Linked DNA regions of Drosophila melanogaster. The gene in region 3 interacts genetically with the main gene of each other region. Each region holds a gene or a part of one and is shown on either strand. Other genes may lie near its edges.

Region 1 (4,563 bases), 9.1 Mb from region 3:
CTTAACACTTAACCATGTTTTTGCAATCATTCCTAATTAGAAGTTCAATTGATATTAGTGCTAATATTTCATAGAGCTTAAAAAAGGGCTTGGCAATCAGAATGTAGAGATGATGACATCACAAAAATCACGTATATCTCTCGTCCAAATCAAGAACCATACATATGTGCTAACCAATTCAATGACTAATCAAATTATGAGCAGATCCCGCATTCGAGTTAACAAAATCCAACCGAAATTGCGTGCATGAGACTTTGGACTGCCTGCCTGAGGCAGCGTTCACTGTATCGGAGGCCCAGGGACCACATTGTCGACCTCTTCCTGGCTTACTCTGCTGGGCGTAGCTGGCGGCGCTCTTGTAGTAAGCCTGCTGCTGACTCGGCGGCGATGGACTCCTGCCACGTTTTCCTGGCTGTCCGCCGGACGGGAGCTGCGAGGAAAAAAGAGGACCATTAGAACCTGAATCCCACAATTGCGCAGTCGAGACCTTCTGCATCAGCGTATGGTGCTGGTGTTGGAGGCGCAGGGGCGGCAGGAAGACCGGGCTACTGGCCGCCGCCTGCTGGATGGCGAACAGTTCGTTCTCCTTGGCCAGCTTCTTGCGCGTTTCGTCCTCGTTGAGCACCTTCTTGAGTTGGACGGTCAGCTGATGCTTCTGGCTGTGCAGATCGGCCAGCTGCTCGTCCAGTCGGGTTATCTGGCCGCGTGTGTCATCCAGGGCCACCTGGTTCTGGCGCTCCACCTCCTCGCGCTCCCGTCGCAGCCGCTGCTCCTCGCACTGAGCCTCGAACTCCTCCTGGCGCCGCTGGCGGTCCGCCACGATGAAGCCCTTCAGTGCCCCGCGCAGCTTCTCCGCCCGCTCGGCCTTCGCCGCCTGGGCGGCCGCGTTGCTGTTGTTTACCGCTGATGCTGGCGGCATCTTTGTGCTCTGCTTAGTTATCTTGCCAATTTTATAAGCGTTCGTGGACGACCGGGCAATCGCGACTGTTTGACCGAACCGACCGAGAGGCTCCCCAAATGGAATGGCGTGCTGGTGGCGGTGGGCTGGAATCCGGGTGGACACCGCTACGGGAATCAATGGTTGGGCGTCTTGGGATCACTGCAAATGCTCGACGCCGGGCTGCACTTTATTTTCGTTCACTTTCAGCACGGTTTTTTGTGGTAAACAATTTGTTGAGTGAGTGGGATGTGCCGACCAGTGTTGCCACCAATCGATTAATGGGCAAAGCTAGCTAGAAAATAGCTACTTTCCGATTGTGGTGGCAAATCTTAAGTTAACGTTCGAACTAAATCACTTATAAAGAATTCGATTTTTTCTTTAAAGCTTATATTCCTAATATTACTAGTCACACCCCAGAATTTAATATAAAATACAAATAGTTTCAACACTGATCGATACTTATCGATAACTTTTTGGAAACAGATTATAGTTTTTGGAAAATCCAAGCATTAAAGTCTAGACATTCTAGAAATGTCTATCGATGTTAATAAAATGCGTAAGCATCGATATGGCATCTCTCATTGGAGGTATCGTGCAGCTCGAGCTCTGCGGTCACACTAGAATTGCAGTTGTTGGTGTGAACGTCTGAACGCGATTCGGAAAATACGGATTACACGGATAATACGAATTATACGGATATTGCGGAAGTTGAACGGAGACGCGACTGAAAGAAAGCCGTGAAATGTGTTCAGTTGCGCGCAGCAGTCATTAGCCTATCAGCAGTGTTTGTTACAAGCTAACAGTGATACAACGTGCCTGGAATCGCAACCAACGCAGAGCAAGAAAAGCAGAAAAGCATAAAAACGGAAGAAGCAGCAGCGGAATAATCAACAAAGGCGGCAAACATGGCGAGTGAGTAACATCGAGCATTTCTCTGCCTATGGAGCATCCCAAACGACATACAGCAGACCCCGGATTCCTTTTCCATAGCATAAACAAACGCAATTCATGCGAGTCATTGCAGCGGCCGTTTTATGGCTGCAGTGCAGCATTTACGAGCTGCGAAAACTTCCAAATCGCTGCCAGGTGTCGGAGGAAGTTGCTCCGAGCAGGGGCAGTGGGGTGGGGGCGGGCGATGCGGCTCCCTAGACAAGATGTGTGTGTTTGCCGGGGACATGTGAGAAAAATCAATACTTATGCTCCCCACTCCCCATCCCACTGCACAGTGGGCCGGTCGGATTAGGCAGATGCCGTGCTCCTGCTGCTGTGCGCACCCACTTATCGCGGCCAACAGGGTCAGCGCTTCCCAATCAGAAATCCCGCTCTTTTATCCTTTAATGGCCCCGGCAGTTCTGGCGGGAATTAAGTGCGGCTGAGACAGCGGCCACCACCGTTTTGCACGAACCCGCCACCCGAGCCGCCCACTCCACCGCAGCACAGGAGGAATAGGAATGGGAACTGGGAACAGCAGTGACGACGCATTAATAAATGAGAATATGCCTCCTGCGAGGTGCCAGGTTTACCGGCGTGTCGCAACACTCCCCGCAGTCCTCACAATTCGTTTTATCCCCACGGGGGGTGATATAGCAAACAAAACGATGAAGTCATGCACAGTGAGAAATCTATGGCAACTTTGTTGAATTGTTGATAAACATTACAATTAGGACAATCTTCACAGATTAAGCTTAAAAGGGCTTAAAATTCGATACTACTTTGCAGTCAAAGCGCAGTCATTGTCAAGATAAAGCTGTGACTAACTAAAAGAAACCCCTTTTTTTCTTGTGTTTCTCAGTGTAGTTGGATGTGTAACGTACGCACTGGATGTGTTATATTTGGGTCAGTCACCGATGAGAATTGTTAAACGTAAACAAGTCTCTAAACTTCTTAGTTTTCAAACGTGACTGCACCGAATCAACACATACATAAACACTGGCCACAGACTGTACTGTTTGTATACCCTTTCCCGAGGGGAACCTGTGCAGAACGACAACAAACAGCACTTGAACGCGCCGGCAATCCCGGCCTCGAAACTTCCCCTTTTTCAGGAGGGGTGCTGCATCCCAATCCCCACACCACTGTACACCTCACTTGTCTACAGAACCCACCAGCTGCGCCCAGCGTAGCGAGACCCATTTCCACACTGAAAACAATTCGTGGTTCTTGTTCATTTTAATTCATATGCAAGCACTGGGAAACTTGCGCTGAATATATGATTTTCAAGACCTGTCATTCGGAGCATTCATTAAGTGTTACATAAGTTTTATACCTGAAGTATAGTACATTGAAATACTATTCGACATTACTATAGATTGTTTTGAAATCTAATGAAAGGACATCTATAAAATTCAAGGATGCAGGCCATTGGACCGTTGCGGCATGATTTACTCGCTGTGCAGATCCCAGCTGCGAGATGCTTGCCACGTCCTCCCTGCGGCTCAGTCACTTTGGACTTTAATTGGTCCTTTGTGACTGCATTTGTCGACGCTTTCGCTCGGCGTCTTCGACGCAATTTGACTGCTGTCCTTGAGGCTGTGGCTACCATCAACCCCGAGGCTGGGAGTCTGATAAGGAAGAGGATATCAGCTGCCAAAGCAGGCCGCTCCCCTCGCCAGATTCCAGATTCTAGATTCCGGAGCTGCTGCCTCTTTATTGTTATTGTTATTATTTTGGGCTTTTCCATTCGTTCCACGCAGCTTACCCAGATTAGCTGGCTGTTATTGTAGTTTGCCCGGCTTCGAATTTATTGTCCTTTTCCACCTCCTTCTTGCGTATTCCGGCGTCGTTGCTTCATTTGCTTCAAATCTAGCTGGGTGACTTGTGATTTCCCCGTGCCTAGCGCCTTCCACTCGCTTTATTCTTTTAACTGCTAATAAGATTTTGGCCCTTCTAATGGCCTTGAGAATGAATGGGGCGAGCAGGCCGCCTTGAAAAGATGAAATTGTGGGGTGGTTGGTGGCTAGCTCTGTTTTAATTGAGTTCGTGCCCTATTCAAATTGGCATAGAAATTAATTTCAATTAACTTTCGAGTCTTTTCGAGGAGGCTATGTGTGTCCCCTTGACAAGTTGTGGAGCATACTTTACGGGGCCAAAAGAGGGTTGGCATTTTGGGGAATCCCCCATCGACAGAACGTTCTAACTTGTGTGCTTCAAGTGTGCAACTTGTGTGCAAACTTTTAGTTTTTTCCGCTCTAAACTAAGCAACTTGTACAACTTGTGTCAACTTTTAAGTTGGTAAATTCGTTGGTATTTACACGAGTACTGCATGATTTAAATGTTCAATAAGCTGGCTGGTATGTAAAAAACGGATTCAAGTTGTCTTTTCTCAAGTGTTCATTGTGTTGACATACAAAATGTTGACTGGCGAAAGTCAATTTGTATTTAAGTTTGCAGCTACATATACATATACAGTCAACTTAGTTCGAAACTATTTCGGCTACCTCTAATATACATACAAAAGCACTTTGTTAAATTCACCAACTCGGTGGATTGTCCCAGAACAACAAACCAAAATTTAAAATTTGCAAACGAACAGAGAAAAACGAATCCTTTTTTGTCTTCTCACGCTGCTGGGAAGGAGAAGAAAGTAACCAAGAACTGGAGGACGACGACTTCACAATGGGAAT
Region 2 (4,663 bases), on a different chromosome or scaffold from region 3:
TGTATATAAAGGGACGGGAATCGGCGTTTTAAAATGTAGTGCAAAATTCGAGGCATCACGAAGAGTTCGTCTGTTAGTACGATTCGGATTCTTAATGCAAATTGGGTTGCGTGAAGACGGTATAAAAAAGATCGCTAAATTCCCTTGGATTTCGAAAGAAACAACCAGGCAACGTGACTCAATTGCCACAATTTGGCTCTGTCCCACAAAAAAAATGAACAGAGAACAAAGCGGTGAGTAAACGGCTAAAACTACCTGCATTAAAAGAAATAAAAAAAGGCCAAAGATGCAGGAGGGACAAGGAAAAAGGGCCAGAGGACAGGCCAAACTTGTTGAGCCCGGGATTAAGAGAAACAACAGATAAAGAAACAGTCGGGGATGCGTAGGAAACCCAATTTACAATTATGAATGATTAATTCCCTTTCCAGCGAACTCCTCAACTGGTTATTGCTATGTGTAGTACTGCTTTGTTACGAAATTCGGTCAAAATATGGGAAAATTCTTTCAGAGCATTTCGGAACTTCGAATATGTTAAAAAAGTAATTACTTTCCAGTAATGCGAAGGGTATATAGAGATAAAATTCGAGATATTTCTTTTTAAAACTTAGGACCTAAATCTGTAGTCATACTAATGGGTTTTCGTTTCTGGCTGGCATTTAAGTCTTTTTCGCGTTACTAAATTGAAGTACTACTAAACCACTATCCTCCAGGTGTCCACACCCCGAATCAGGCCAACGTATGATGGTGTTTCTGGTCGGGATAGTTCTCTATGGATTGAATGGAGCGCGATGTGGCGGCAGTAATGGTTGAAGATACGTCCATAAACCGATATTTCTTGTCATCGCGACAGAGTAAGGGGTAGCAAATGATGCCGTAGTAGAAGACGAGGCAGAGAACGATTACGGTGAAGATGATGGCGATGATGCCGAATGTGGAGATTCCGGGTCGACTATCCAGATACTCCTTGGCCGTCTGCGGGGGCTGGGTGGTGGTGGGCGGTTCCGTGGCCTTGTAACCCCTTCGATTGTTCCGCGCTGCACTCGCACTGAAAACCAAGCAGCTGGCGCCTGCAATAACGAGATGCGTATCCGTAAAATCTGATCGCGAGGCGATTTCTTCATTTCTTCTCCCTCTCTTTCGCTCACCTAAAAACAGCACACACAACAGGTACGAACTGCGAGACATTTTTAATTTATTTCGAATTTACGATTGAGCACGAACGCGGGGCGAAATCAGTTCGTTGGCACGAGAACGGGACGCAGACGCAGAACAGAGACTCGAGAATCACACAAAGCAACAAGAAAGCAAGACAAAAACCTTTCGCGTTGCTGGTAGGGACGGACTGTCGTTGCCTATCGATACATGAAGATAGCCATCGCTGTCGATGTTTCAAATCGCAATTACAAATTTTAAATTTATGGTATATATCATAGATTCATGTTAACAAAATTGTAAGTACGTTAGTGTATATTTTTAAATGAAATAAATAAATTCAATGAATAATTAATGTCTCTCGTCACGAAAAACGAATCAATATTAAACTAGACCTTTTTTAAAACTGCTAATCCGTGACTTTTTCCCTTAAAACGATATGTGACCGCGACTCAGTCACGCCGCTTAGCAACCATCGACCATCGCCAGCCAACATAGTTATCGATAACACGACGAAAATTTGGTTGCCGAGCGTGTGTGCGCTGCCCTGTCCGTGTACACTTTATTTTCAATTGGTGAAAATTGTTATAAAACTAGCGAGGAAATATGTGAAAATAAGAAAAGGCCCAATTTCGACACTCGAACTGTGCGTGCACAATCGAATTGGCGACCATCCGACCGCGAAAACCTGATAAAAGGCATAAAAATAACAAAGGCGTTAGCAAACGAACGACGGGCGAACGAAGGCATATAGACGCTTATACCGATCGTTCCCATACAGTTGTGTATATTTAGTCATTGCAACTGATTAACTTGACGCAAGTAAATGCAAGTATAAACTCAAAAACGGCCAACGCAGAGCAAAAGTACAGTGAAAATTGGTCGATTGTCGGCGCACGAAGACGAATACGAACAAAAGGAAGAAGAAGCGAACGAAACAAACGAGAAAGAGAAACCAAACGAACGGCGATTTTGCATTCGTGTGTGTGTTTGTATGTGCTCGAGTGCGCGCGCGTGTGTATGTGTGAGGGTGGAATATAAACAAAAAATAATTAACAATACGAATATCAAGAACGATTGCTCTACTTGGCGAAAAGTAAAATGTCACATTTGCCACTAGATGCACGGGCCATTCTCCAGTATCTAAATGATTTGGGCTATAGGAACATATCAGCCGAGCAACTCCGTGAATTTCTAAAAGGTAAGCAATCCGTACAAGTGTGCGTGCGTGTGTGTGTGGGATTGTTTTTGGTTTGTTATTTTGTATGCACAATTTTTTTTGGTTGCGGCTTTTCAAACTGAATTTCAAACGATTCGTCACCATTTCAATTTGTTTTTATTTCCAAAACGAACGTGCGTACAAAGCACAGACAAGAAAAAGAGCAGCGGCACAGGCAGAAATACGGAGCAATGGAAAAAAGAAAATATAAAAACGAGTATTACTTGGAAATTGTGAATAACACACTATACATACCCATGGCACAGTGGTTTGCAGCAACAAAATTCATTCGGACCAAAAATTTAGGAATAATCGAATAAAGGCCGGCCCGACATCGAAGGAAAACTGCTTTGGCAAGGTTCACGTACTGTGGCATAAATACATTTCAGTGGAAATCCTAAACACACGGCTCTTGTGACCCCACTGTTCTGTGTGTTTTTTGTACTTGGCTTGCTAGTCATAGTTGTTGTTGCTGCTGCCCTGGGCCTGCTTTTCTGCGTTTGCTCGTGTGTTTCGGCCTCCACCACATTGTAAGCTTCATCCGCAACTTCACATGAATTTTATCCACAAACATACATATGTACGCATACAGCAGCGGGTAAAGCGTTAGGGAAATGTCGATGTGCAATTTGAATTTGTAATATTAATAGAAAAATTGTCTTACGGAATATATTTTATTTACCTAATGCACAAAACTCATTACACTCATTAAAATGTCTATTTCGGTTATTTTAAATTGAAAGTGCTATAATTTCCACCGCAACTGTATGAATTGTGTGTGTGTGTTGTTTTTTTCCCTCCACTCTCTTTTTGTGTTTTGTGCGTTTTTCGTGTTATTTTTCGCTTTACTCCTTGTGTGCTCCTACTCTTTTTCTTATTTTTCCTTAGTTGTTGTTGCTACTGCTACCGCTTGAGGGTTGCCACTAGGGTTTCTTTCGTTTCTCTTTGCGCCAACGTTTCGTTTTGTAATGGCAAATATAAAGCGAGGGCAGAAAAAGTGCCAGCGCAGCGCTGATGTGCTCGTTTTTCAGGTTATATATATATTGACGCGCGTCAGTGCATATTGGCTAGGCATACAATTTATTTGCAAGTATTTACGAATGTGTTAGTACTGTGAACGGCAGGGTTGCCGGACTAATTGTCATTATGAGTTTAATATCGGTCATCGGCCATTATGGCTTTGTCAGCTCATTCGCATTGTTTTTTTGGGAGACGTAAAAAACCAAAACAACAAATATGAATGGAATGTGATAAGCCATATTGCGCAAATTAGCAAGAAATACAACGATAAGATGCATAATTATATTTGTTAGGGTTGACTTTATAAAATTAAATAATAATAGTATAAATAAAGAAAGTACAATTTATTAAATAGAGCTTATATACAAGCCGAGGTTAGTATGAGTGATTAAGAATAAGTGTCATCACCAACTGTTTTTTTTCTTGAATCGCTATTCTTCCACATTTGTTTTTTCGTGCCTGTTTTGTAAATATAACTGGTTTTTAATCAAATGCAACAATACAGTACAATTATGTTGCAGCTGTGTCACCCCTAATTTTTTCGCGTGCTGGCAACGCCTCGCTAAGCGTAGCCCCCCGACCTGGCAGCGCTATGCTGCAGCACAGCTGCTGCTTCTTCTTCTTCCACCCGCTTGGGTCGTGTTTCTGTGTTCCATTTAGTTTGGAATTAAAATAAATTAACTCACACTTAACACTCGATGGCCTTTTAGGCAATACATACCGAAATGCATCCAAGTGCAGTTATTGATTTGATTTGTGTGTATCCGAATGCAACATTGCATAACACACATCGGGAAACGTACAAGGAACAAGAGGAAGAAGAACCACCGGGAGTAGGATTTCCCCCACAGTGATTTATTTGTTTTTATATCATTTTTCGTGGCAAACAAGTTTAAAACGCGGTTGGTGTTGGATTTCCAGCTACGGTCGAATTTTGAATAAAAATTAAAAACTAAACCAATTATATCAATGGTTATAACTACAGCTTTAGACTGGTATAACTTTGTTCCAACTAAAATTGGAGGGAAACTTTATAGGAGTGGTTCTTGTTTTTAATAAAATGTTTTTAAATATTTGTGTTACTGAAACATTTTATAAGAACATGTACAACGTATTTGGATGTAATAAGTTGGAAATTAATATTACTTAAGTTCAATTTTTTTTTTTTTGTAAATAATCATTTTTATGGTCTGATTTTTAAATTTATTTTTGAGTGCAATGGTAAAATCTTAAGTTTCATTAAATTTAACTCTACATAAAGCATACAGTTAT
Region 3 (4,671 bases):
ATAAATACGATGGGCTATAATAAGGGATTTGGTATCGAATTGATGGCTCTGCTGGTGGATCGCATTCGTCCCACGGATCTTGTACAGATTGCCAGTCCCATTCCAATCAATAACTTTGATTCTGTCCTCGACCGGAACAGTCTGTCGCAGATAAAACCAATTATATACTCTGCGGAGGAGTTCAAGATCAATGAAATACCAAAATACACACTCCATAAGCTGATAAGTGCAGTGCCTGCAAGGGAAAAAGGAACTTGGAGTCTCAGCGCCAAGGACATGCGGTACTCCAATCTTCTGGCACGTCTCAGTTCCTGCCTGACTGGAAATGCCAAATCTCTTACAGACTGCCAGCCGTTGGGAGTGTCTTTGGAATCCCTGAAAATCCTGCATCCCACCAGCAAGAATTACTCGCGCGAAGAACTGATTCGAGGCATGGAGGCTAATGTAGTATATCTGTGCCATCACGGAGCAGGTCTGCCCCAATGTTTGGGAATAGGTTTGTACACATTCACGTTCTTTTGTGGCTTATTAATTGAATTCCAAAATTCTTTTAGGTGTGGTTCGCGCCATCGACTACGAGCGCAAGGAGTTATACCTGGTGCCAGCAATGCCGCTACAAAAGATGTCCCTGGTGGATTGTCTTATCCTCGGCGGGGAACAGTCCCTGCCGCAGGGCTTCCTTCGGGATCAGGGCCAAGGTGTGTCCAGCAGTGTGCCCTTCGTGTTCATCCTTGACGATTCGAAATCTTCGAAGAGTATTCAGCAGATCTACCATCGAGCGCCAGCCTTTCTGGGAGTACCAGCGAATCAACGAAACTAAAACTGAGCTTACTGTAGCAATCGCAATCGGATAACATTGTAAATAAAGTTAGGTTTATTAACACAAGGCTAGTGTGACAAATTGTGACGTCCTTTGAGGATCCGGTTCATCAGCACTCGTCGTCCCTCAGGCGTCGACATCCTAGCATTCCAGCCGTGGACATTAATTCTCTTCACCTCCATGGGTTTCGGAAAATGGCAGCGTACTTTCGGTTTCAGCACCGCCCGGTTGAAAGCGTGCTTATCCCGCACGATTAGAGTTTGTGCGGTGCTGACAACCGCCAGGCAGGTCCTGCAATGCCAATGTATGTTATTATACCACTCAAAATAAATGGTATATTCATTATTTACTCGCCTTTGGAGCATTCCTTGCAGCATGTTAAGTAATTTCCAGTTAGTATGACCGCATGAAGTCCGAATAATACCGCCTGAACAGCCGGTAAGCCGCTTTGGCGTTGCCAGACCATTGGGTTCGAAATTTCGAACTTAGCTGCATGCTATTTTACGTTAGCATGTAAAATGCATTACATATAGATGGAATCATACAATTAATCTAAAAAATCGTCATAATATTGGTCAAATGGAAAACCACCATATGGGGACAAATTAGATAAACCGCTTTTAATTGAATGGATCTGAAAGTAACCGAAAACTTTTTAAATATGGAATGAATATGTTTGGTTGTACATATATCGAATTGGTATTGTGCCATCTCTAGCTACCCACGATGGTTGTGGCAGCGCAGCTGTTGCAAATGAATCCACAAGATACATTTCGGTATATTTTCCGCAACGGATTCTTTTCCACCCTCAGTTGCGGTCACACTGCCTAGCCAACAACAACCACAACTCGGTGCCGTTAGGGCTGCGTTTGTTTTCTGCTCCCATTCAGCTGCATAGAAAAGAAAGAAAAGTGAAAAGTGTTCGGAAAACAGGCAGCATGTGAAGCATAATTACTCCACGGAATTACTATCTCAAACGAAATAGTTGTCGCCGAAAAGAAGTGCGTAAAATCGCGAGTGAGCTCGTGAAAATAGAATAAAAAAGCGCTCTGCAATTGAAGAGAAACATTGCTGCAGTCGTGTGTACGTGCGTGTGTTTGTGCGTGCGAGTGTGAGTGTCGCTCTCTGGACGCAATTTCTTTGGCCAAAAGAGTGGGGAAGTGGGGCAGGAGAGTCCCGAATCGAATCCCCGAAACAGGCAATCCGAATCCGAATCCGGTGCATTAAAAATAGCGCAACGAGGTGAGTAAAGATGCAAACTGCAGCATTCAGTTCACGAGCTGATGCCAACAAAAAGAACTCCAATTAGCCATGTCTGCAGCCAGCCAAAAAAATAATGAAGAACGGCAGAAAAAATACAACAAGAAAATCGATTTTCCTGAACTTACAATTTTCTCCGCCTCACTGGGCAAAAGGGGGGGCGAAATGGAGCTTGGGGAGCCGGCTACGGCTCCATAAAGTATACATAAATTGAATTTCGAAACACGGAAGCGAAATGGATGCACTGGACGAAATAATGAATAAATTATTTTGATATCGAAAAGTTATTCTCGTTAGAAAAAGTTTCGCTGAGGGTCTCGAACGCAGTCTGTTTTTATAAAAGCATATTATTTAGCCTTATCAAGCAAGAGGATGAATAAAATTGCATTAAAATGTATTTCGACTAAATTTCGACTTGCTATACTTTATTTCTCTGCGTGTAAAAGGGGGCAGGAGGCTGCACACGGCTGTTGTTCTTGTTTTGTTTGCTGGTGTGGATGATGATGGAAATACTTGCATATGTGTGTGCGTTCTGCACAGAGGGAGATGTAAAAATTGAAAAATCTGACCAGAAGCAGGACCCTCCGACTTTTGGTCCAGTTGTCATGGCCACCGCACTTAACAAATGATTTTAGCGGCCACTTTTTCCCGGATGCGAATGGGGCAGCTGTCACTCCGTTTGCCTCCTCCTCCTTTTCTCCTTTTTCTGATTTCATCTGTCTGCCCCTTTCTATCTTGCTCTCTCCCCGTGTTCTCCAACGTGTGTGTGTGTGTGTGCGTATTTTGATGACGGCACTCAGTTTCCGCCCGCACTGTGATTTTTGGCCATACACGGCACCAATGTTTCAGTACAGTGGAACCTGGTGCGCAGGAACCAAATGAAGTTAAGTTTAAAACTGCATTTACTGCGACCATTTATGAAATTTTTTAAATGAGTTACATTTCAGGTTCTTCTAGATTTGTTTTAATGTGAGTAAACAATTTCTGCTTTAAAACGTAAAACTCACATGTACATAATATACAATTGTTGGCAAAGCAATAAAAACTTATTACTACCATAAAAATAAATAGGTCGACATTTTCAGACGCAAGAACGCATAGAATGTGTGAACAATACGTACAATAGCTTATTGACACAATATTTAGCATTCAGCGGATTAACTCATCAACGTTGGTTTTTGATTGAATGTGTTATATTATCTATTTATGTACATATTATATTATATAATATTTCGGCATAGGCTTTAACTAACTTTATGCTTGCCACTGTTTAAACTGGCTTGGTTTATCATACGTTTTTCCCAATTCGCGAGTGCCTACTGTAGAAAATCCCCGGCATTACCACTCAGTTTTCGGCACTCTTTTGCGGATGCTGCGTACGCAAAAAGGGGACGTCGGCTGTTCTAAGAGGACTAGATGTTTCCTTTTCACTTCCGCCAGCACCCCTAAATTACGTGTCTCTGTGTGAGTGTCTCTGCACGTGTGTGTGTTGCGTGCAAGTGTGTTTGTGTGTGTGGGCCAACAAAATTACTTTTACGAGCATTTAGCATAGGTTGTTGTCCCTTCGCCCATTTCCCCGGTTTCCCTTCGCCACCAGTTAGTTTTATTTTGATGCGTTTTTAATCAGATTGCGTCAATTTGTTGCTGGCCCAACGATGAGGGCGGTCCCGGTGGAGGGGGGGGGCGTTGGGATTGTCCTATTAGCGCTTGTGTGGGAGTGAGCGACCATTTCCCGGGTTGCGTGTCAAGTGCAGACCCTTTTTTCGCCCGCTTTTTTCACTAATTATAAGAATGTCTGTTTTGGCCTCGCATCTGGATGATGGCTCGTCATTGGGCTTACATTCTCGCTTTTGATGACTCAAAACTTAACTTTTCACTTTTGCAGTTCTCTTTGTGGCACCCACGCAATTAATTGGATTGATAGATTGAAAGCCTTTTGTTTTTAATTTTAGCAAATTAAATGCAAGAATAATACTTAAATGATTATATAGATATAAACTTTGAAATTTGATTATGATAATATGATAATATGAAAACAACTTGTGCTGAAGGAGAGACAGCCGAAGTTTAGGCACCAATTTGCCAGCAAAAGATAACAAGAATTCATTGAATTATGTTTGTTTTAACCAGTTAGGTTATGCATTCTTATGTAAAGTTTACCTTTTCTATAAACTGTAACTGATGTTAAATTTCATTTTTTGTATTCGTTAGTTAGTTAGTAAGGGGATCAACACTTCGTTGTTCAGTCGCCTTGTTTTTCTTAGTACCAATTCTTTTTGCTTTGCGCTTCTCCGTGGCCCGTTAAAGTACAGAAATACTTGGCCAGGCCGGCCGGAGTGCGAGTATCGTATCTATCATGGCGGCAGCTGTCCAATTCTCCAACCAGCCGGCACTGGATCGCTGTTTGTTGTTGTTGCTCTTGTATCTGCTGTCTGTCGTCTTCATCAACGCCTTAGTATCTGTGTTCGCTTGCTTATTTATTTGTGTGCGAGAGTGAGTAAGTGGCGCTGTGTGTGTTGTTGGCTTGAACTTTATGGCATTGCGTTGTTTTATGTTTGTTTTTAGCATTGGCCTGTGTTGCTGTTGTTTTC

What was found.
Region 1: of Dg (region 3) and vimar, changing one enhances a phenotype caused by changing the other (phenotypic enhancement), as found in Drosophila melanogaster (2 studies listed by BioGRID).
Region 2: of Dg (region 3) and chif, changing one enhances a phenotype caused by changing the other (phenotypic enhancement), as found in Drosophila melanogaster (2 studies listed by BioGRID).

Annotation. Positions count from the first base shown.
Region 1 is NT_033778.4:6,982,701-6,987,263, reverse strand, and holds the start of vimar (visceral mesodermal armadillo-repeats), read left to right. Parts: upstream 1-1,551; 5' UTR 1,552-1,845; coding exon 1,846-1,852; intron 1,853-4,277; exon of another isoform or gene 4,278-4,555; coding exon of another isoform or gene 4,556-4,563. Other genes in the region: CG17002 (uncharacterized protein), read right to left, coding at 331-430, 488-919; CG30156 (uncharacterized protein), read left to right, coding at 4,556-4,563. UniProt on the Drosophila melanogaster protein: Probably acts as a GEF (guanine nucleotide exchange factor) for the Rho family of small GTP-binding proteins (G proteins) that stimulates the dissociation of GDP to enable subsequent binding of GTP.
Region 2 is NT_033779.5:16,349,617-16,354,279, reverse strand, and holds the start of chif (chiffon), read left to right. Parts: upstream 1-1,651; 5' UTR 1,652-2,253; coding exon of another isoform or gene 2,254-2,353; intron 2,354-3,996; exon of another isoform or gene 3,997-4,293; intron 4,294-4,663. Other genes in the region: CG4455 (uncharacterized protein), read right to left, coding at 727-1,067, 1,146-1,185; Hyls1 centriolar and ciliogenesis associated, read left to right, coding at 2,254-2,353. UniProt on the Drosophila melanogaster protein: A bicistronic gene producing two proteins that are components of different complexes and have separate properties and functions.
Region 3 is NT_033778.4:16,095,519-16,100,189, reverse strand, and holds the start of Dg (dystroglycan), read left to right. Parts: upstream 1-1,625; 5' UTR 1,626-2,062; intron 2,063-4,671. Other genes in the region: CG8414 (uncharacterized protein), read left to right, coding at 1-496, 555-820; mRpL34 (mitochondrial ribosomal protein L34), read right to left, coding at 889-1,111, 1,175-1,197.